Linked DNA regions of Macaca fascicularis. The protein of the gene in region 2 interacts with the protein of the main gene of each other region in a biochemical or structural test. Links are inferred from orthologs where the notes say so. Each region holds a gene or a part of one and is shown on either strand. Other genes may lie near its edges.

The links.
Region 1: the proteins of OIP5 (region 2) and MIS18BP1 form a complex in vitro, tested with the Homo sapiens proteins (2 studies listed by BioGRID). The link is inferred for Macaca fascicularis from reciprocal best matches to the Homo sapiens genes OIP5 and MIS18BP1.
Region 3: the proteins of OIP5 (region 2) and MIS18A form a complex in vitro, tested with the Homo sapiens proteins (3 studies listed by BioGRID). The link is inferred for Macaca fascicularis from reciprocal best matches to the Homo sapiens genes OIP5 and MIS18A.
Region 4: the proteins of OIP5 (region 2) and HJURP form a complex in vitro, tested with the Homo sapiens proteins (2 studies listed by BioGRID). The link is inferred for Macaca fascicularis from reciprocal best matches to the Homo sapiens genes OIP5 and HJURP.

The regions. Positions count from the first base shown.
Region 1 is NC_088381.1:113,244,265-113,249,502, reverse strand, and holds the end of MIS18BP1 (mis18-binding protein 1), read left to right. Parts: intron 1-949; coding exon 950-1,037; intron 1,038-2,645; coding exon 2,646-2,700; intron 2,701-2,887; coding exon 2,888-2,991; 3' UTR 2,992-3,944; downstream 3,945-5,238. UniProt on the Homo sapiens protein: Required for recruitment of CENPA to centromeres and normal chromosome segregation during mitosis.
Region 2 is NC_088381.1:17,879,743-17,885,659, forward strand, and holds the start of OIP5 (protein Mis18-beta), read right to left. Parts: upstream 3,810-5,917; 5' UTR 3,780-3,809; coding exon 3,458-3,779; intron 3,218-3,457; coding exon 3,151-3,217; intron 1-3,150. Other genes in the region: NUSAP1 (nucleolar and spindle-associated protein 1), read left to right, coding at 4,176-4,268. UniProt on the Homo sapiens protein: Required for recruitment of CENPA to centromeres and normal chromosome segregation during mitosis.
Region 3 is NC_088377.1:14,602,819-14,608,979, reverse strand, and holds the start of MIS18A (protein Mis18-alpha), read right to left. Parts: upstream 3,389-6,161; 5' UTR 3,366-3,388; coding exon 3,035-3,365; intron 1-3,034. UniProt on the Homo sapiens protein: Required for recruitment of CENPA to centromeres and normal chromosome segregation during mitosis.
Region 4 is NC_088386.1:129,792,156-129,798,246, reverse strand, and holds the start of HJURP (Holliday junction recognition protein), read left to right. Parts: upstream 1-2,117; 5' UTR 2,118-2,184; coding exon 2,185-2,280; intron 2,281-2,744; coding exon 2,745-2,811; intron 2,812-4,022; coding exon 4,023-4,078; intron 4,079-6,091. UniProt on the Homo sapiens protein: Centromeric protein that plays a central role in the incorporation and maintenance of histone H3-like variant CENPA at centromeres.

The DNA.
Region 1 (5,238 bases), about 95 Mb from region 2:
ACAACCAACCATTCTACTTGGCTTTTAATCTCGTCAGTTATGAGTCAAGCCTATTTACTTGTAAGGGAAGAGATAAGGTAAAGGAAATGAAAAAAACAAAAAAAAAAATTTGGTGGTTGGTATGGGGAATTCAAGAAAGATAAAGTTTTGTAGAAATAAAAGGCTTGATGAGCTGGATTGGAAACCCAGCACAGTTGGAAAAATTGAGGGTTTTCAATCACCAGGCATATCTTTAAAGTGAATAAACTGAGATTCAATTAGTATAGGGAAGGAAGTGAACAATGGTACAGCAAAAGGGAGTCCAAGGACCAGAGGTCTCAGTGGGAGTTTTGGAAAATGAAGAGAGGCAGCAAGATACTGGAAAGAGCGTAGACAGTACAATGAGCAGTAAGCAAAGCATAATTTCCCAAAATAGTCTTATTCATTATTTCTTTTAAAATGTTTGAGCGTTTTGCCCATCTCCATAGGCACATTGTATTGTCCTCTTTAAAATACAGAATGTACTTTTTAAAGATGGAAATACATTTGAGGTCAGGCATGGTGGCTCACGCCTGTTATCCCAACACTTTGGGAGGCCCAGGAGGGCAGATTGCTTGATGAGCTCAGGAGTTCAAGAGCAGCCTGGGCAATGTGGCGAAACCCTGTCTCTTAAGAAAAATACTAAGATTAGCCAGGCGTGATGGCACGTGCCTGTAGTCCAAGCTACGTGGGAGGCTGAGTTGGGAGGATCACGTGAGCCCAGGAGGCTGAGGCTACAGTGAGCCATTATCATGTTACTGCACTCCAGCCTGGGCGACAGAGTGAGACCCTGTTTCAAAACAAGAAATACATTTGAAATTAATTTAGGCAATTGTTGTTCAACCTGTGGTTAAAAGTATGACAGTTAACTGAAAATTATTAAGTTGACTTAAAAATATTGTTGACTTAAAATTATTTTGTATTCAAACAGGAATGATTGTGATAAATATGTTTATCGTATGCAAAAATATCATAAAAGTAATGGTGGTATTGTCTGGGGCAACATCAAGAAAAAATTAGTAAGTATTTTTCTTTATCCAACACATATCTATGAAACAACTTTAATATATGATAAACTGTGGTAGTTATAAGTGATGTGACAGTCCCTGTCCCTAAAGTGATTATAATGTAATAAGTTACAATAATGAAGCCATGAATGAGGTAAGTACATAAGTACTGTAGGATTACAGATGGCATTACATAGACTGAAACATTGGAGCAAGGAGAAAATGGGTAAAAACTTTGATTTTTGGGAAATGAAGGGTGGTAAAAATATACACAGGTCTGGGAAGGATATTTCAGGCAAAACACAAAAGCTTATCTGTTCAAGGATTAAAGAATAATTCAGACTGAGTCATGATTCTCATAAAATAAGACATTTCATCAAATCCTATGTAGCTTTAAAATGGTTTCAAGTGTTTTTCAGATGTAGCTACTTAATTTTATTTTTTTATTTTTTATTTTTTTACATTCTAACATTTAAAATCCAACTACAGAAAAATTTTTAACTAAAAGATGCCTTAATAGAATTATCTGTATCCCTCAGAGAAAAGATTAGGACAATCCTTTATCCCCTTGAATTACTTTTTAAATTTTTAATTTTCTGATTTTAATTGCAATAACTGATAATCAGATATAAGTACTAGGATTCTGAAAAAAGTATTTCATCTCAAATTTCGTCAAAGTAAGTAGCTAATCTCAGAGAATGGTAACTTACGGGAACCCCCTTGAGTCCCTTGCTTTATGACACTGAGCAAGTTACTTAAGCTTTCTAATATCATTTTATTCATGTGTGGTATGATAATGGGGATCATGATTATATTGATTTATGTTACCAAATGATTTTGAGGGCTAAATGATATGATATAGTGTTTTACCTCATGTCAGAAAAAAATACATTTATATCACAGTCTGTGAGCATGAATTTGTATCTCAAAAATTTCTTCAAACAGTACTTACTCTTAGTATAGGGGCTATTATATTTTTTATTGTTACTTTTTATTTTTAAAAGATTTAATGATTGCCAGCCATGGTCAATAGTTTGATAAGCATTGTAATGTGTGTGAGCATGTACTTCAAACTTGCCATTTACATTACCATTTTAGCCAAGAATTTCAAATACAGAGAATTAAAATTCTGCTAGTACAAAACATTGTACTGTTAAATTAACAGACTGTAGGTAAAATACAGTAATTACTATTCTGTATAGTAATTACTATACTGTAATAGTATTGTAATTATAATTACTATATATAATCATGATAAATTTTGTTTATATTTTACGTTTACTAAACCAGTATATTCATTACCTAATTACTTAGTACATTTTGGCAACTTTTGGAGGCCCATAGACTATCCTTTTAACTGCTATAGCATTAGTTTATAGTTATGAGTAGTGTTTGCCAGCAGTGGAAAACAACATTGAGTAAGTCATGGTTCTTGCCCTGAATAAACCCAAAAGAGAATTAGGCATTTCACAGATAATTATAATGTGATTAAATGTTGTTATAGGCATAGTAACCTATAGTTCAAAGTAACCTGGGGATAAGCATGCTTAATTTTGTCTAGATTTGAGGTAGATTTCACCAGGAGGTACCATTTAGCTATTAATAGTAACTCTTTTATAGGTTGAAACTGATTTCTCAACTCCAACACCAAGGAGGAGAACCCCACTTAACACAGGTAATATACTTACAGCTTTCTTTTGTGGCTCAGTTCTATTATAAGGTAGATTCTTTATTTAAATGGTATTAAAATTAATTGCTCTCAAGTGGACAGACTTAGCATTTTATTCCTTATAGTTGTTTTCAGTTTTATTGAAAGTACTTTTAGAAATTTATTAATCTTTTTATTAAACTTCTCTTCACAGATTTAGGAGAAAACTCTGGTATTGGAAAACTTTTCACTAATGTTGTGGAATCTTTAGATGAAGAAGAGAAAGATTATTATTTTTCAAACTCTGATTCTGCATAGTAAAATGAGAAAATATGATTCCTGGGATTTTTACCATAAAGCAGACAGTGTGTTTGTATTTTCAACTGGAGTACATGTATTTTCTTTGTAAAGTAGCTTCCTATGAAAATGTGGACTTCTTTGAAGGTTTTATGTGTTTGTGTTCAAACTAAAATATCCTTATTGCTGCAGCTTACTAAAAATGTAAAGAAAATTGTTTTTGCTTGTGTAGACATCTGTACATTTGTTTTTGCATATTAAAATATATAGATACTTTTTAAATATGCATCCAAGTCTTTTTACTTTAAGAAAAACATTTCCCAAACAGATTTTTTTTTTTTTAATTTCAAGAAAATTTTGCTACCATTTAAGTAAGTAAGGGAGGGTGAGAAGGGTGACAGAGGTTGTACTGGTAGCTATTGAATTCATGAAAACTTTTAAGTTAGCATTTGTTACCAGTTATTATCCAAGCCAGAGTAGGATTTGTTACCAGTTGTTATCCAAGCCTAATGTTTAAATTACACATTGTTGGAATTAAATTACACATTGTTGACATGCTCCTCTCCTGATTGTTTTTATTTTATGTGATTGGCATATCTATGAAACCTATGTATATTTAGTTTATTGCTTTGCCATTATTTTACTAGATATTTATTTTATTTTACTAAATAATTATTTTACTAAATAATTATTTACTATTTTGTTCTCTAATTTTTAAGTGTTATTTACATATGCAGATACAGCTTAAATATTTTGACTAGATTAGACAGTTAATAGATCCACCATTAGTAATCAATATATTATGTCATAATAAACATCCTTTTTCTTTCACTGAAATTTCGTTTAGAAATAAACTTATTTTCGCTTATTATGTTTTGAAACTTGACATATAGGATATTTTCCTTCTGGCTACACATTCATCTACCTTTGTTCTCTATTTAGATTATTCAAATAAAGTTAGTTTGCTTTTATAATATTTGTTTCTTGTTTTTTGTTTGTTACTAATTACTGGGTGATAGAAATAAAAACAAATCACGAGTGGTCCTGTTTAAAGTTTCCTCAAAAGAAAAAAAAAAAAAGTAACATTTTCTTGTTTCTTAAGTGTTTTAGTCAGAGCAGGCCTGGTGTCATATACCTGTAGTTTCAACTACCTGGGAGGCTGAGGAAGGAGGATTGCTTGAGCCTAGGAGTTCAAGGCTGAAGTGTGCTATGATCATGCCTGCAACTAGCCACTGCAGTCTAGCCTGGGCAAGAGAAAAAGACTCCTCTTAAAATAAATAAGTAAATAAAATAAAATAGTAATAATCAGCAGTTGTATAATTACAGGACTCATGGAAACACTGTAAAAAGAACAGTGCAATTGGACTAAGATTATTATTTAAACTACTATGATTATTTCTGCCATAAAGACCATTGGTGGATATAGGATGGATCAAAAGAAAGGTTTATTTTGGAGTGGCCAAAAAAAATGCTGTTGTATTACTTGAGTTGCCAATACTTGATCTAATACTATACTGCTTGGAGTTAATGGACAGTGTTTTAGGAGTTAAGAAGGTGGTTAAATCCCTTAACAAAAAGTAAAAAGGTAATTGAAATGGCATAAACTTGACTCAAATCAAGAGTCTGACCCCTACTGCCTATATATTCCCTTGTCCTATCAGAACTCCTTCAGCGCCTTCCCTATTCTAAGGTATCTCACCTGCCAGGTACCTGGTTTGTCCCATTTCTATCAGGTCATAAGATGAACTAATAATAAAGTTTAAGGTAAGTAACCTCCAAAGGAGACTTAAAAGTGGAAAAGAAAAAGACCTTAAGGACTTAAATAATAAGATGGATAATCAATGGTTAATGGCTACCAATAAGAGTATAGGAGGAGGCTATTGCAAGCCTAAATATGGATAGAGCTCTCCACACAGAAAGCATAAATAAATGAAATCCTCTAGGTTATGTCTGTAACACCATGTTAATGTACATAATTTTTTTTGTCTGATGGGTACACACACAGCTGAGTCTGAGCATGTGGTATCTCTGAGGTTGAGGGACTGCATGATTCTGGCATGCAGCTGGGGCAAAGTACCACCAGATGCCCCTACCCACAGTCCCTGCTGACAATGTAGCAGCAGCATGATGCATGAAGATGTAGCACAGTGGAAGGAGAAAGGCTCCTTTCCTCCTGTCAAAGCTTAGCATTGTGCTCACTACTAAAGGAGAAATACTCAAAAAGTCCAGTTACAGAAAATTGATAACTGCACACTAGGCAATAACTTA
Region 2 (5,917 bases):
AGCTTGCAGTGAACCGAGATAGTGCCACTGCACTCCAGCCTGGGCAACAAAGCAACACTCCGTCTCAAAATAAAATTAAAAATTTTTCTTTTTTTTTTTTTTTTTTTGAGACGGAGTCTCGCTCTGTCGCCCAGGCTGGAGTGCAGTGGCGCGATCTCGGCTCACTGCAAGCTCCGCCTCCTGGGTTTACGCCATTCTCCTGCCTCAGCCTCCCGAGTAGCTGGGACTACAGGCGCCCGCCACCGCGCCCGGCTAATTTTTTGTATTTTTAGTAGAGACGGGGTTTCACCGTGGTCTCGATCTCCTGACCTTGTGATCCGCCCGCCTCGGCCTCCCAAAGTGCTGGGATTACAGGCGTGAGCCACCGCGCCCGGCCAAAAAAATTTTCTAAAAGAAAAGCACTTTAAGAAAGTATTTCATCATGCATGTGCTAAAGGCAATTTTAAAGTGCTTTGGTAAAGGAAAAATTAATTATATTAATATAGAGTATGCTATGAAGAATTTTTTTTTTTTTTTAAGACAGGTTCTTGTTCTGTTGCCCAGGTCAGAACATAGTGGTACAATCATAGCTCCCTGCAGCCTTGAATTCCTGGGCTCAACTGATCCACCTGCCTCAGCTTCCCAAAGCTGGGATTACAGGTGCATGCTACCATGCCCTACTAATTTTTTTTGGAAGAAATGGGGTCTTACTTCCCAGGCTAGCAGAATTCTATTAACAAAATACAACATAAAAATCACATAGCTAGCCCGGGCATGATGGCTTATGCCTGTAATCCCAGCACTTTGGGAGGCCAAGGCAGGTGGATCACCAGAGGTCAGGAGTTCAAGACCAGCCTGGCCAACATGGTGAAACCCTGTCTCTACTAAAAATACAAAAATTAGCCAGGCATGGTGGTGGGTGCCTGTAATCCCAGCTACTCAGGAGGGTGAGGCAGGAGAATCGCTTGAACCGGGGAGGCGGAGGTTGCAGTGAGCGGAGATTGTGCCATTGCACTCCAGCCTGGGCGACAAGAGCAAAACTCCGTCTTAAAAAAGAAAAAAAAAAAACAAAAAACACATAGCTAAAAAGAAATATTCATGTCAATGGATACTAAAAAAGAACAAATAACAAAATATATTAGGTTTATTGGTAAATGAAGTCCCACACCACACATATAGTAATCTTGTGAATATAGGTAACCAAAAAGCAAACTGTGAAATAAAGTGTCATTAATTTGAAATTCCACGTAGGAATTAATTAGTTCAGACAAAGCACAGTACTTATAAACAAATGTGTCAGTGGAAATTAATTTACTGGGCCGGGCGCAATGGCTCACGCTTATAATCTGAGCATTTTGGGAGGCGGGCAGATCACCTGAGACCAGGAGTTTGAGAACAGCCTGGGCAACATGGTGAAACTCCGTCTCTACTAAAAATACAAAATTTAGCTGGGTTTCCAGAAGGTTTTCAATTTACTTTGCCCATATCCATCAGAGGAATAACTATCTATAGTAGCTATAGATAGTAACAGTAAATGAGCATTGACTTCAACTTAAAGTCATCAGCTGCATTGGCCCCTAACAAGAGAGAAAGCCTGTCCTTTGAAGCTTTTTTTTTTCTTTTTTTTGGATGGAGTACAGTGGTACCATCACAGCTCACTACAGCCTTGACATCCCAGACTCAAGTGATCCTCCCACCTCAGCCTTCCAATTAGCTGGACCACAGGTGCACACTATAATGCCCATCTAATTTTTAAATGTTTTGTAGAGATCGGTTCTTGCTATGTTGCCCAGGCTGGTCTTGAACTCCTATGCTCAAGCAATCCTCCCACCTTGGTCTCCCAAAGTGCTGGGATTACACGTGTGAGTCACTGTGACCAGCTCCTTTCAAGCCAGGTAATACTTCTCCTTTCTACCTATGAAAGTCTGAGATGGCATCTTCTTCCAATAGAAGGCTGTTTCATCTGCACTGAAAATCTGTTGTTTAGTGTACCCACTTTCATTTTCTGCAGCTTCTGCATCAGTACTTGCTGTTTCACTTTGGACTTTTGTTATAGAGAAGGTTTCTTTCCTTAAATCTCAAGAACCAACCTCTGTTTTTTTTTTTTAGATAGTCTTGCTCTGTCACCCCGGCTGGAGTGTGGTGGCACAATCACAGCTCCACTGTAGCCTCGACCTCTATGGCTCAAGCCAGCCTTCCTTCTCAGCCTCCCAAGCAGCTGGGACTATAGGTGTGCACCACCACATCCGGCTAAATTGTTTTGTATTTTGTAGAGACAGCATTTCACCATGTTGCCCAGGCTGGTCTCAAACTCCTGGGTTCAAGCAATCCACCCACCTCGGCCTCCCAAAGTGCTGGGGCTACAGGCATGAGCCATTGCACCTAGCCAACATTTGCTACTTTCAAACTTCTGCAGCTTCCTCACCTCTCAGCCTTCACAGAATTGAAGAGAGTTAGGGCCTTGTTCTGGATTAGGCTTTGGTTTAAAGGAATGCTGTGGCTGGTTTGATCTTCTACTCATACCACTCAAACTTCCTCCATATCAGCTTATAACTGGAGTAGCACTTTTAATTTCCATGTATTTGTTTGTTTGATGGAGTTTTGCTCTTGCTGCCCAAGCTGGAGTGCAATGGTGTGTTCTCAGTGCACTGCAACCTCTGCCTCCCGGGTTCAAGTGATTCTCCTGCCTCAGCCTCCCAAAGAGCTGGAATTACAGGTGTGTGCCACCATGCCCGGCTAATTTTGTATTTTTAGTAGAGATGGGGGTTCACCATGTTGGTCAGGTTGGTCTTGAACTCCTGACCTCATGTGATCCACCCACCTCAGCCTCCCAAAGTGCTGGGATTACAAGCGTGAGCCACCGCGCCCGGCCCCATTTTTTTCTTCATATTCACAATTTGGCATGACTTCACATGCCTTCCCAGCTACTCGGGAGGCTGAGGCAGAATGGTGTGAACCTGGGAGGCAGAGCTTGCAGTGAGCCCAGATCGCGCCACCGCACTCCAGCCTGGGCAACAGAGTGAGGCTCCATCTCAAAAAGAAAAAAATCAAACCAACAAAAAAAAAGGAAATGCTGTCAACAGACTTGCTCAACAAGTACATGTCAGTTCCACGCTCCTCAGTCTCATAAAGTCAGGGACTAGAGACCAATCTGTAATTATCAATACGTACCTGCCTTTGAGTGAACCTTCAATGCCAACTAGGAAGGGCGCTTCCAAAACGACGTTATTTGTAACTCCTAGGAACACAAACACGGGTCAGAACTCATACTCTGCGGGCCTTGAAATGGAAAATCTCTCCTCTAGACAGACTCATCCCCGCCATAAATGTCAGGAGACTCCCCAGTTCCCTGCCCCATCCCCAGGCCAAGGAGTTATGTGCTTCCAAATTTTCATTCCGTTTTCTTCCCCAGGTGGAGAAGGCGGGAACAACCTCTCGGGCTAGCCTCTGCCTTTCCCGAACGCCTCACTGCACTCACTGGAGAAGACCACGGCCCCAAGGGACCGCGACAGGTCCCAGGCGAGGTGCACCGAGTCGGCGAGCACGGCGTGGCATTGTGCGCACTGGAAAACAGCGCACCTCTCAGGCTGCAGCCAAGACGGCAGCTGCGAGACGGCGGCCGGCTCCTCAGCCCCCAGCCCTGCGGGGCCGAGCGGCGAGGACCCCTTCACCACCTGTGTATCCCACTCCATGGAGGTCGTAAAAGATGCTTCGTCAATCGCCCTCTCAGTGCCATCACAAAAGTCACCCTGGGGCGGCGTTGCACAAGGGGAGCGATGCCGCCGCGGCTGAAACGCCATCTTCTCTCAGCCGGCGCCGTCGTTTCGAATACACGCCAGGCCCCGCCCCAAGCACAGCTCCTGCGTCCTCATTGGACATCGTGGGCAATCCAAGCACTGGAGTCCCAGTCCGCGCACTCGTTACCTGAACCGGTCTTACAGGCCCTTCGGCGCCTGCGTATTCGTGAAGTGTGAGAAAAGCGCGCGACTGTTGGGACGGGAAATCAGCCTTTCTATTGGTCAGGGTTAGAAACCCCGCCTTTGAGGCATTTTCAACCAATGGAAGCGCGGCATTCTTCATTTAAACTGTCTATAAATTTCAGCTTAGTCAAAGTTAAGAGTGGCGCCAGGGATTTGAACCTCGCTTACGAGACTTGGTGATCCATCTTCTGAGTATCGCCGGGATTTTGAATCGCGATGATCATCCCCTCCCTAGAGGAGCTGGACTCCCTCAAGTACAGTGACCTGCAGAACTTAGCCAAGAGTCTGGGTCTCCGAGCCAACCTGCGGGTACGACGCTGGCGGGGCAGTTCCCTGGGCGGGCGCGGCGGGAGTAGCGGCCTCAGGGAGATGCGGTGCGAAGGGACCGAACGGGAAGCCCGGGGACTGAAGCAGCCGTCCCTGCCCCTCGGGCAGTAGATGTGGTTCACGGTGGTCCCAGTTAGAACTCTGATAAACGGAAGAGGAACTGTAGTTTTCACCTCATTTTGAAGCTGGCTTGTCTGGGTGCTCACATGATAAGCCTCTGTTCCGAGGGGTGGTTTGTTGTTTTTCGTTTTTTGTGTTTTTTTTTTTTTTTTGAAATTACTTTATACCTCTCAGGTCATCGATTACGAAACGCAGGCCCAGAAAGCAGAAGGGGTGTCGTTAATCGTTAGACAATTAAGTAAATAATTGGCTCAGCTTCTAGAAAACCCCACACAGACTTCAGTGATTTGTAATATTGCCGATAATCTCTTGATACTTTATTGATGGACCTGTCAGGGGGAAAGAAAAAATCGACTTTTAGGGGACCACCTCCTTGGGTAAATTTTTATAACTCAGCCCTGATCTAGTATACTCATGTGCTTATTGATGACTGTTGTGGTGATGGTATCTATCAAAACCAGTAAGGTCTTTGACTCCGAGGCTACAAGATGTTAGGGGAATTGGCCGGGCGCGGTGACTCATGCCTGTAATCCCAACACTTTGGGAGGCCAAGGTAGTTGGATCACCTGAGGTCAGGATTTCGAGACCAGCCTGGCCATTAAAAAATTAGCCGGGCGTGGTGGCACACGCCTGTGATCCCAGCTACTCGCCTGTGATCCCAGCTACTCGGGAGGCTGAGGCAGGAGAATCGCCTGAACCTGGGAAGCCAAGGTGGCAGTGAGCCAAGATCGCACCCACTGCACTCCAACCTCGGTGACAGAGCGAGACTCAGTCTCAAACAAAACAAAAACAAACAAACAAACAAAAAACAAGATGTTAGAAGATTTGGGGATTCAATGTAGGATAGCGGTTTTATATATTTTGTTAATAGTTGAGACTTCCCACATAATACTGCTGTGTGCTCTCTAGGTTTGTCCTGCAGGCTATGATACTGACACTGAATAAATGCCTAAATCAGTCGTCACAAATGTTTTTCTTTTCTTTTTTTTTTTTTTCTTTGAGACAGACTCTTACTCTGTCTCCCAGTCTGGAGTGCAGTGGCACAATCTCGGCTTACCACAACCTCCACCTCCCGAGTTCAAGCGATTCTCCTGCCTCAGGCTCCTGAGTAGCTGGGATTACAGGCGCGTGTCACCATGCCCGGCTAATTTTTGTATTTTTAGTAGAGACTGGAGTTCACCATGTTGGTCAGGCTGGTCTCGAACTCCTGATCTCATGATACGCCCGCCTCAGCCCCCCAAAGTGCTGGGATTACAGGCGTGAGCCACCACGCCCGGCCTAAATTGTTTAAACAAAATAATCAGGGCCTAAGTGCCTGTTGGGGCTGAATGACCAAAGGGTTTTCCTTGTGGATATTTCTGGGCTATAGTGGTTTGTGGCTCCCCTATACTTTGTAAACAAAGCCTTAATATCTCAGCCTAAATTCCTTAGGCTTTTTTGCTGCCTAGCTAGAATCTTTTATCCACGGCTGCATCCCTGAACACTTGGAACTTTTATCTGTCTTTGTCCCA
Region 3 (6,161 bases), on a different chromosome or scaffold from region 2:
TTGGAACCATTAGAATCTCAAATCACAGACTGAAAAGAACTATCTGCCAGTTAGTGAAACTGGGTTCCCAAACTAGGAAGATGCAAACAGCCAACACATATATCTCCAGATTTCCAACACAGGGCCCATTTCTCTAAAAGTAACTGAGAAGGTCCTCAGGATCCCAGCCACACATCTTTTACTTGAACAATGACTTGGACAGAGGTCACTGCTGGACTCGAGGCAGCAGCAAACATTCCCAAAGAATCCAGGTCTAGGACACACTAAAGGACAGGGTAGAGGGTGAAGAGAAATGAAGAAAGGACATCAGACCTAAAATGGCCAAAACAGACTCTTGATTTCATGGCCTCCTACAGTCTACCTGAACTCTGTAAACTCCATCCACCTGCTTGCTGAAATCAGAAACCAGGGTGTCATCCTTGATTCTTCATCTCCTCATCTTGCTCCCCCATATCTACTCCACTGATCCATCCCATCAATTCTACGTCACAAACCTCACTCCAGCCCCCAAACGAACAGCACTAACTCTTGCCTGGACTACTACCCTGGCTCTTCACTGACCTCCCCCCTTCCATACTTGTTCCTCCTTCAATGCTTTCTCCAAAGAAAATGCAGGGTCATATTACTCCCCTGCCTAAGCTAGCATAATAATGTACTTACTAGAACAGATTACTACTCTTTAGAACAGACTAAAACGTCTTGCAGTTTCTGGTCTCTTCCTTCCTCCCTAAATCTTATCTTTATTCTCTTTGACCATACTCTAGTCTCAAGGATTTTGCACCAGCTGCTCAGCACCTATCAAAAGCAGAGAGCATGACCAAGAACTGTACCCGCAGCCCAGCTAGCATTCACGTATAAAAACAGGAAAATATTTTCAAGCACATAAACTTGAAATTTTCTTGGAGATGTGGACGTGGGGAGCACTAAAGATTAAGCAAACAACTCAGGAATGAAAAAAGCTATTAAGAAGCTTTCTTATGTTAATGAGTACTGGAGTTGGGAAAAAAAATTATATAAACATTATAGGATCGGGTGCTCTAACTCACATTTGTAATCCCAGCACTCTAGGAGGCTGAAGCAGGGGATTGCTTGGGGCCAGGAGTTTGAGATCAGCCTGAGCAACATAGCAAGACTCTGTCTCTACAAAACATTTAAAAATTAGCCAGGTGTTAGTTTGTGTCTGTTGTCCCAAGCTACTTGGGAAGCTGAGCTGGGAGGACAGTTTGAGCAGGCATTCAAGGTTACAGTGAGCTATGATTGTGCCACTGTACTCCAGCCTGGGCAACAGAGGGCTGTTAACCCACTATAACCCTATTTAAAAAATAATCTATTAAATAATTAACCCTATTTTAAAAAATCATAGTAAGGCTGTTATGTCTACAACAGAATGTAAATGTACAGAATGTAAATGTATAAACCTTAACAAAATGAAAATAATTAAACTAATTCAAATTGGGTAAGGAAGGAATGGAAATGAATCAGAATTCATGTTTGTCTTTACGGGGGTGGGGGGGAGGGCGGGGAGATGTTAAATCCTATTATCTAAATCTGATTAATCAAAAAGTGTATAGTTCTTTAAACTATGTTTACTATTTTAAAACTACGTTTTAAATTTAAAAACTATTAATATAAAAATTAACAAAAATAATTGCCTTTCTATAAGTAAAGCAAAACAAAGAAAAGAGGCCACATGGTAAAAGATACTATCGAAACAAAGTACAAATAAAATGAAAGATGTAACACCAAACATGTTATTTCTTAAAAAGATGTAAACAAGGTAAACTCATTCAAAGAGCTTTTCCTACTGGATCAAAAATCTGCCTGGTTTTTCTTTTCTTTTTTTTTTTTTTGAGATGGAGTCTAGAGCTGTTGCCAGGCTGCAGTGCAGTGGCGCAATCTCGGCCCCTGCAACCTCCTCCTCCCTGATTCAAGCGATTCTCCTGCCTCAGCCTCCGAATAGCTGGAATTACGAGCGCACACCACCATGCCCGGTTAATTTTTGGCTTTGGCGAGGGTGGTCTGGAATTGTATTTTCAGTAGAGATGGGGTTTCACATGTTGGCCAGGATGGTCTCGATCTCCTGACCTCGTGATCCGCCCATTTCAGCCTCCCAAAGTGCTGAGATTACAGGTCTGAGTCACCGCGCTTGGCCTAGTTTGATTTTAAGAGGTGCAAAGAGTTTATCTCAACTTTCAGTTAACTAGGGGACACTGGTGTGCTCCTTTATTCCCAGTATTACACCAAGGAAAACGTTCCAGAAACGTCGATAAGCCGGTGATGAATTTCTGCCATCGAAACATTTACAGTATTCAAAGACAGGAAAAACCTCATCTTGAAAAACCACAATCCAAAACAACAGCCATTTTTACACCAATTGAGAAAAAATATGTGAACCACTTTATCCCTAAATACTGTAAAAATAGCAAAATGAGGGAACAGAGGAAAAACAGGTAACTGCTAGGACCAGGATTAGAAACGAATTCCCGCCGCCTTCTGAACTCTTTTGCTACGTCCTCCTTCCTCGCCAATTTTGATGAGGTTGGTGGTGCTTTTACGGCAAATTTCCTTCCCTTTCTTCCCCATAGCACTGTTCCGTCAGCTCCGCGGCCCTATCACTGGAGACTGTAGAGGTATCCGCTGATACACACAGCCCGCTAATTTCTGTGGGGAGTAATAGTACTGGCTGCACCTCAAGTGCTTACAGTCTAGTTGACCATTTGTTTCTCTTTTTTTAGGGTCTTTAAGAGTGTTATTCTTTGTTGCCCTTTGCTTCTGAGTAATGCTCACGATGATGCTGACTCAACCGCTGCTCTTCTGGGATCGGGGAGCCCAGAACAGAACCAGTCGCCCGAGAACCAAAGTGGAGGGGTGACCCTCCTCCCCTTTTCCTGCGACAGCTCACACTCTCAGACTTTTTACTCTCAAAGTCCCTGGACAGCGCCAAGGAGCCCCCGCCCCCTCCGGGGCCGCCCCGGCGCGGCACACCTGGAAGAAGGCGACCCCACGCCCCCATGCCCGGCTCGACCCAACTGACAGCGCAGCAGGATGCAGTTGGTGTCCTCCTGGCTGGCCACCCAGCTCAGCGAGTCGCCCAGCGGCCGCCGGCAGCCGCAGCACAGGAACACCAGCGGCCTCTCCTCCGCAGCCCCCGCCTCCTCGAGCCGCGCCTTCTCCGTGTCGGCCACCGACGCGTCTTCGCTCACGGAGCTCCACATGCTCGCCCACTTCTGCAGCAGCTGGTGGCGACTCGAGTCTTCGGAGAGTCTCTTGCCCAACAGCGAGGAGTCGCTGCCCTTGCCCTTGTCGCCGCACTCACAGCCGCCAGCGCATCCTCTGCTGCACCTCAGGGCCCGAACGCCCGCCATTACCTACAAACCGCCCGCGCCCCAGAGCGCGAAGGGAAAAAAAACCGCCGCTGCACATGCGCGGGGCGGGGCGCGTTGGCGGAGGCCGAGAAGGGGCAAACGCTTGAAGGGGCCGGACGGCGGGCCGCTTCTAGTGCGCATGCGCGCCGTGCGTCCTTGGCCTGGCGTGTTAGTCACTGCGCCTGCGTCAGGTTTTCCAGCCTGAAGAAATTGACGCTGCTGACCTGTTTGCTTGTCTTCCTAAGGATTATTCACCCCTTTCCGTGGGAGGGGCAGCGTCACTGAGAAAGTTACGGGCTGCAAGCCTGAGTGTCTAAGAACCACCTGGCGAGCTTCTTAAACAGATCGCCAGGCTCCATCTTCACAGACTCTGGTTCAGCAGGTAGCAGGTTAGCCCGAGAATCTGCATTTCTAACAAGCTCCTAGGCTTGCCCACGCTGTCAGTATTGGCAGCCCAACCTTTTTTGGGGGATTGGGAGGAGTCTTTCTATGTTGCCAGTCTCGAACTCCTAGCCTTAAGCGATCTTCCCGCCTCGACCTCCCAAAATGCCAGAATCACAAGCGTGAGCCACTGTGCCAGACCACCACCCTTTTTCTTCTTTTTTGTAAATGGACTAATTATAGTTGCATATAAGCGACTCCACTTTTGATGAACACTGCGCTATTTTGTCTGCTCCTGGGGGCCTCCTTTCCATGAAGTGGAGAAGGAAGGGGATAGGGGAGCCCCTCGTCACAGGGTCTTTTTGCGCATTGCTATTCCTAGAATGAGACCCTGGGAAGGGCCCCGGATCACTCAGGCTGTCACTGCAAGGAAAAAGTTGAGGAAGCAGCCATGCCCCTGGAAAGCTTGGAAGTGTGCCTGCTGCTTGGATCAAGGAATAATTCGTCCTTGCAAGGAAGAAGCATCCCTTCTTGATGATAAGGACAGATTTCCCCAGCTGCCCCAGAAAGCCAGCCTCTGCCTAAAACACCATAGGTCAGGAGGGAAAGCTGACGGGGAACCAGCCAGCTTTATGCACCGGAGACAGCCTGGTGGCATACCTGGGAAGAAAGCTACCTGCAAGGACCTACCTCTGTTCCCACTACGCGCTGGGTGTCCCCCAAGTCACTGCCTACTTTGCTTGGTTGCATAAACTATTTACGTACTTACAGCCACTAGCAAAAAGCAAAAGCTTTGGAGTCAGTGGTCCTGGTTAACTTACCCCTCCCTCCACAAGGTAGTAACAGTGTAGGGAACTGTGGAAAAGGCTGTTTGCCTTTCCTGAGTCTGATTCTTCCTGGAGTAAATGGAGTCTGTTTCTTCAGTACTACACCAAGTTGTTCATAAGGATCAAGTTTTCTAATATTCATGAAGATACTTTGTAAACCCTAGCACACCATGCTCATGTTAATGAGCTTCTTACTGGAAGAAAATGCTTTAGATAATTTAGGCTTTTTTTTTTCCACCCATAGAATTCCCTTCCTTCCTTCTGCTTTTTTTCCTTTATTTTTTCAGAGATGATGTTTCAGTATGTTGCCCAGGCTGGTCTCGAACTCCTGGCCTCAAGCGATCCTCCTGCCTCAGCCTCCCAAGTAGCTGGAACTACAGGCATGCATCACCATACTTTGCCCCTTCTGCTGTTGTGGAGCCAAGCCTGACCTTCCTGGACTGTTGTTTTCAAGCATAATATATCTGGTGCAACATTGATACAATCCACATGAGTTCTTTAATTAAGTGGCTAGTTACTTTGGGATTCAAAGGATCATCTTGTCTCAGGCTTTGGGTTCCTATTGTCAATACTTTAATTCTATGATAGGGTGCCCCAGGAAAGAAGGAATACAAGGCCGAGCTGCATGGTGACTTTCAGGGACCCTATTTTTGCCTCGGTAGGCCTTTCCCTCCATAAAACAGTTAACAAAAATTTCATTATATAGTCACATTGCTATGAAGATAATTATATTAAAATGATATCATAAAACATTTTTAGACCTATAAGTTCATTTATTTCTCCTGATTTAAAAAATGGAAACATTTTCATGATCCTTCAAAATATGGTTTGTAAGCATGGTGACTCCTGCACCTCATGGAGAAGTTGGCTGGTGCAAAATGAATTCCTCTATAGGCACAAGTGTGTGTGTATTAATATTAGGAATATAAAAACAAGACTAGCCTTGGTGGCTCATGCCTGTAACCCCGGCACTTTGGGAGTCTGAGGCGAGAGAGTCACTTGAGCCCGGGGGTTTGAGACCAACCTGGGCAACACAGAGACACTCTGTCTCTACAAAGATTTAAAAATTAGCCAGGCATGGTGGTGCGCCCCTGTAGTCTCAGCTGCTTGTGAGGCGAAGGCAGAAGGATGGGTTGGGGTTGGGAGGTCGAGGCTGCAGTAAGCTGTGATCATGCCATTGCACTCCAGCCTGGGTGACAGAATGAGATCCTGTCTCAAAAAAATAAAAAAAACAAAAACCTCAGCTAACCACAAAATCATCCTATTTATGGAGGGAGGACAAAATGAGATGCTTGAATAAGATGACCTCATATTTCGTGGTTGTAGTTGCTTCCTAAACTACATTCTCACCATACCTCCTAGTTATATAACTAGGAGATTTGGATAAGGTTGAGTCCATCTCCACCACTCTCACCACCAGTTCCAGGAATGAGTCCCTATAGGTTTAACTCGATCAATAGGGATGACCATGACTCTTCCATAGTGATTGGGGCAGGGATGGCACCTACCCCTGGCTACCCATGCTGCTCCCCTGGCAATAGGGATTGGCTCAGAATAAAAACTTGACCTTGTCAAGTTCAGTTTTTCC
Region 4 (6,091 bases), on a different chromosome or scaffold from region 2:
CTTGGAATGGTTTCCCAGGAATAGAGAATAAGCCCTGGGAGACGCCAGTTTTGAAAACTGGTACTATTGTGCTTGTTAGAGTCATGGTGAGGCAGGAGAATAGGGAACTGGGGTAGCCAAGGGTTGAGGCATAAGCAAAGTAATAGCAGATGCAGCCAGTTCACATAAGCAAGAGAACAGCAGGTGCAGCCAGTTTTAAGCAAGATTGGGCAGGACATAGGCCACATCTTCACTCCTGTGATAACAAGAAAGAAGTTTCCACTTCAGCCCCTGAATAACTGCAGGCCAAGTTTCCACTTTAGGCTCTGATTGGTCGCAGACCAATCCTTCATAGGGTGTAACCAATTGGAGGCCTCTAAAGGATACCCGGAGTGTTGCCAAGTTATTTTGGCTTCATAAAAGCCCTAATTGAAGAGGCTCTTGAGCCAGGTGCTCTAGCCCGCTCTCACTCTGCGAGTTCTCTTCAGTGAATCTGTGCTCTCCTTACTCCGTTCTCCTGTTGCTCTGTTTTTCGTTGCTTCATTCCTTTGTTACTTTGTGTGTTTTGTTCAATTCTTTGTTCAACAGGCCAAGAACCTGGACAGCTCTATCTGGTAACAATGAAAGAGTCAATCGTCCAAAACCCAAGAAGAAAAAAATCTTATTCAAGGTCCCAAGTCTCTAAATGGGCCCAGTTAGATGTTTGAAAAGTAAATTATGTGTGGAAGCACAGTCCGAGGAAGAACATGTTAAGTTTCTGAACACTCCTAAGGAAGGAGGAGGAAGACACCTCAGCCTGTTTGCGAAAATTGGAAAAGATACAAATTAAATGTGTAGATCCTGCAACTGGAGAAGACTGAGAGGATGTTTATATAGGGAGGAAGGGAGGGAAAGAAACAGGATTGGTAGGTTACCCCATCCAATTCCGTGGAATTGAGAGCTCGGAAGATAAAGTGGCCCAGGGTTTTCTTTCATCAGACTGAAATAGTACAGCCTTCCTGTTCCCACCTGGATCAGTCACTGGCGCTGGGCCACCCTGGGGCAGCAGGATCTTGGGTGAGGGAGTTCTCTGCAACTGAATCGTCCCAGAATAGGCTGACAACTGAAGGCCCCTGCCAACTGCCCCCCAGCAGCTGTGGCATCTTAAGGGGAATGAGGCCAGCACATCTCTGTGTCCAGCAAAACGCAACACATTTTGTGGTCACACACACTACATGAGCCCCAAAGTTCTCACGCTTCCCCCACCCCCACCTAAATTTCTGCAGGACATCATGATAGAATTGCCGTGCAGGCTGAAAGGAGGTGAAGATCCCCCTCTAAGGGACCTCCTGGTGCTCAGTAATGCTTTTATTTTCAATCACATACTATGGTAATCACATCAGCACAAGCACACAAATGTGGTTAAGTCACCCTGTGTTTCCTTAGGATTGACATTCCTAAGATGTCAATCACAAATTCCATCAGCCATACTAAAGACTGATTTATCTTGCTCTTCTCTCTGGAGAAAATATTACAAGATTAATATCAATGAAGAAGCAGAATATGCAATCAGAAATACATGGGGGAAAAGGTGGGTTAATACAAGTATTTTCCTGGCTTTTGTGATGTGTATGGCATTTGTCAGCATCTTTAAATGTGTCATTCGTTGAGACTTATTTTTTCTTTCGCTATCCTGCCTCCTTTTGGGTTGGTAATTTGGGGTTGTCTTTCTTAGGCCCCTGCCCTCGAAACCGCGCCGGGATCCCAGGCGGGCGAGTGAGGAAGGCGGCCCCCGCCCGGCGGCGACACCTAGAGCAAGTCACGCAGAAATCTCCAGGCCGTACTTATCTCCGGTGCACAGCGCGGGAGATGACACGCATCCCACCGGATCTCGCACAGCCCCGCTGATTAACAAGCACAGAGCCGTTGGAGCAACTTCCACCCACCTCGGCTACCGGAGACCCTCCCTCCCTTCCGCCGGACACGCTTCTTGGGGCGTGGCTGGAAACTCGGGCGTGGATTGGCTGGGAGGAGGGATGCAAATTTGTTTGAAAGGCCCAATCAGCGCCCGGCTTCTCCGCGCTGGCCAATAGAAAACCGAGAGGAAGGCAGGAAGGGCGAAGTCGCTTATTTGAGTGTGCGGCGCGCCGGGCCCTGCGGTCCGGGTCGCCGCTGGGGTAGCGGGTAAGTCTGCGGCTTGGTCCGATTCTGGGTCCGCTGCGCACCATGGAGAGCGAGGACGTGGAAGACGACCCGCTGCTGCAGAAACTCAGGGCCAGTCGCCGCCGCTTCCAGAGGCGCATGCAGCTACTGATAGAGAAGGTGCGGCCCCCGCCGGTCCGCCAGGAGGGGAGGCCTGCGGGTCGGAGTGAGGCTGGGAGGGGACGTAGGACGGGAAGGGAAGGGGCTCTGAGGGCTCGGAGCGGGAGCTGGGGAAGCGGGACTGGGGCTTGGGTGCGGAGAGAAGGTGGAGGCGGAGCTGGGGGCTCCAGAGAGGGAAGGAGGAGGCAGCGCCGAAGGCTTCGGAGCGGGGACTGGGAGGAAAGACTGCGGCCTCCGGAGCGGGGGGAGTGGGGAAGCGGGACTGGGGCTCGGGTGCAGAGAGGAGGGTTTGGTGGGGCTGGGGGGCTCCTGAGTGGGACGAGAGAGGCGGGGTTGCGGACTCCGCTGCGGAGACCGCGTTTGGGGCGCCCCCGGCCAGACTAACGGCCTCTCGCGGGCTGGCGCCGCCTCCGCCGGGGTCTGAGGCCCCTGGGACCTGACAGGAAACCCCTCCTCCTCCACAGTACAACCAGCCCTTCGAGGACACCCCGGTGGTGCAAATGGCCACGCTGACCTACGAGACGCCACAGGGTAAGCGTCATCCTCCCCTTCTGAGTATTCGGGTGAAGAGTGCGAATGGAGTAGTTGAAATGCTGTCACTGCTGTTTTAGGAAGTAAACATTGTTCACCTAATAGGAACCAAAACATTGGTGCCCTTAAACCTGTAAATTACTTGGATTACTTATTAAAACAATTCCTGAAGAGACATAGGTGCCTCCTGGCTCGCACGCCTCCGGCTTGCCGGGTTGGCATCCCCGCTGGCCATCTCCACACCATGGCAGCTCGGGGCAGTTGCTTAGCTGGACTGGTCTCAGTGTCTTCATCTGTGAAATGGGAAGGATGCTGACAATAATGTCTCCTGGGCAGGGGTGTTGTAACAGTTACGTACAATCCCTGTGAAACTCTGGGAACAGTACCCACCCTCCACTGCCAATACTCACTTTGACTATTGTTTGCCCTGTTTAACTTGGAGTAGTAACTGTCTTCCTTGAGGCTCCAAGTACTTGAATAGGGAGAAGGCATTCCGTTTAATAGTTAATGTAACGGACTGAAATCTTGTGGATTCTTTTTGGTAAATAGCTGGTGACAGTTTGCACTGGCTGGGGTCAATTCCTCCCGTATAGCTTTATAACTAACTCAGTATCACTTAATGAAAACAAACCTCACAGCACGTTCTGTGTTGCATTAAACAGACGGGCACAAAAGGTTCACAAGATCTGCTCCTTGAATTAAAAGAAATCCTACCTTTCCGCCTTTATAGGCAATCCAGGCGCATCTTGGGTGAAAAGTTTACATAGGCAGAAACTAAAATATTCCAGTGGCAGGTCTCTGTATAACATGTAGATTGCCCTGAGAAAGCATTCATTCCGTATATGGGATGTAGAGATTGCCTGCGAAAAGTGCTTACTCCCTCTAAATAGTATATAGATTGTCCTCTCTTTATGTATTTTAAGGACAGTTGCTGTCACATATGTTCCTTGTTTTCATGTAACTCTTTGGGCTAATGATGTAATTTGATGAGCCATTGCCTAGTAGGTAAGAGAGAGTTCCATCAATGACACATTTGCCTTAAAAACCTGAAACTTTACAAAGAGGAACAACAGCAGGGTATCAGAAGCCTGGCTTGGTTTTAATTTTGTACCTTTTTTTTGCCTGTCACTTTGGCTTCCAGTGAACACAGATTGAGCAGAAGTTCAGCGTTCAGGATTATGTCAATGGTCATTTTTGTTTCTTTTCTTCAGGATTGAGAATTTGGGGTGGAAGACTAATAAAGGAAAGAAACGAAAGAGAGATCCAGGTATTTAGTGTCAAATTTTATTGCCACATAACCTTGCTGTGGAGGAGCATTGATGTGAATAAAGGTGTGGGTGTGCCCAACCTCTGAGCTTATGCAGAGGCCACCACGGGGCACTTCTCACCTTGATTATACTCTTTTTCTGTTTTTAAGGATTTAGAAGCGTTTCTTCTGTAGCTTGTCAAGTGCAAGGAGGCACTGTGTAATGTTTGGCCTTTTTTGTCACCCTGTGTTTCCTGTGTCACAGGCTGAGGGGCTCTGATAACACACATGCAGAGGCTGGGCCAGCTGGGTAACCCTCCCCAAGGCCACGTGCCAGCCCAGCGAGGGGCTCACAGAAAAGACCAAATCCAGTTCCTTCTAGGGAAGAAGAATGTCTCTCTTCCTGTTTTGAAATGGGAGGAAGAGAGACGAGGGGAGGCGCGGCCTGGAGGACCACACATCTTTCCCTCTGCATTTGTCTACCTTCTGAAGACCCGGGTTTCCCTGCCTAGTTGTTCCGAGGGTGTTGCAGCTCTGAGACCTGTTATTTTAGTGGAAGGTGCTGTTGCCCTTTCTACAGGGACATCCAGGAGCCCTTTTGCCACAGTGGCTTTTGCAAGGTTGTCTGGTATTCAATTAATCACTGCCTCTCAGATGCCACATGGTTCCTCCCTGTGATCACAGGTCAAGGAACCCGTACCCAAGAATGAAAACATCAAGGTCAAGGTGACATAATATTAACAGCAAATTTGAAATCAAATCTTCTTGATTAATTATTCTAGTCATGGAAATGTTAAAAGTACATACAACTACATAAATGAGCTGATTTCTCTCTGCAAAGATGGTCACTAATGCTATTTTAGTACAATGTGATTCCCTATAATACACATCTTCATAAATGCATTTTTTTCTCCTTCACTTTTCCAGTTAATACATATGGCGAACTCATCAACTATTGTATAATTATAAAATTATATAATTATTTTAAAAATCATATTTTTTTAACTGCTCTCCTGTTGATAGGCAATTAGCTATTTGTGGCTTCCTTTATTAATAAATAAGGGTCAGCACACTTTTTCCACAAAGGGTCAGATGGTACATATTTTAGGCTTTGCTGGCTGTATGGTCTCTGCTGTAACTACTCAGCTCTGTGTTGCAGGGGGAAAGCAGCTGAAAATAATATGTAAATGAGTGTACGTGGCAGTGTTCCAATAAAACTTTATTTATAAAGCCTCTGTTAGATATGGTTTTCAAAGAAAATCCTGGTCCTTATCTCTTCCCAATACTGATATTTCCCCTTTTCAGTAAATTCTGAGAAGTGGGATTATTGGTTTAAAGGATATATACTCTTTGAATTATACATAATAGAGATGAGCACTCATCAGACCAGTGCTTATATGGTCCTGCTGGCAACAAGTTTTCATTTGAAGATTTATTTAAGATTTGTTTTTAAAATGTAGGAGGACCCCTACCCTGGGTCTCCAGAATCTTCAGACCCTTTCTTGGGATTAGGAAACTGGGCATAGCCTGAGATTTCAGCTGGGACATATCTGACTTCACTGTAATTGCTGTTGGTGACAGTACCCAGATCTGCTTTCACCTTTTCCCAGACGACTTGGTGCTCCTGCTGCCCTGGGTGCTGGGGGAGGCTGTGGGCCCTAGCAGGCCGGGCGTTGACCTGTGCTGGGTCGGTTATAACACAGTGCCTGGGCTCTCTTTGTAGCTACCAGAGCTACCAAGTAGTTTGGGGTTGTTGTAGATCGTCTGCTTCTCTGTGATTCTCAAACCAGATTCTGCCTCAGACACCGCCACAAAACAACTCTGTGAACTCCATCTTACATGATGGTTTCACTGGAAGCAAAGGTTCTGATATTCCAGAAGTGGGCTTCAGTTACCCTGTAGTGCTCCTGGGTAGCCCCAAGTCCTCTGAACCCTCAGAGTTGACACCTGAGGACCATCCCTAATGGTATAGGCCTCACCACCTTCTCACACCCTGTTCTTATAAGGCTGGGTGGTTCCTAAAATATTAATATT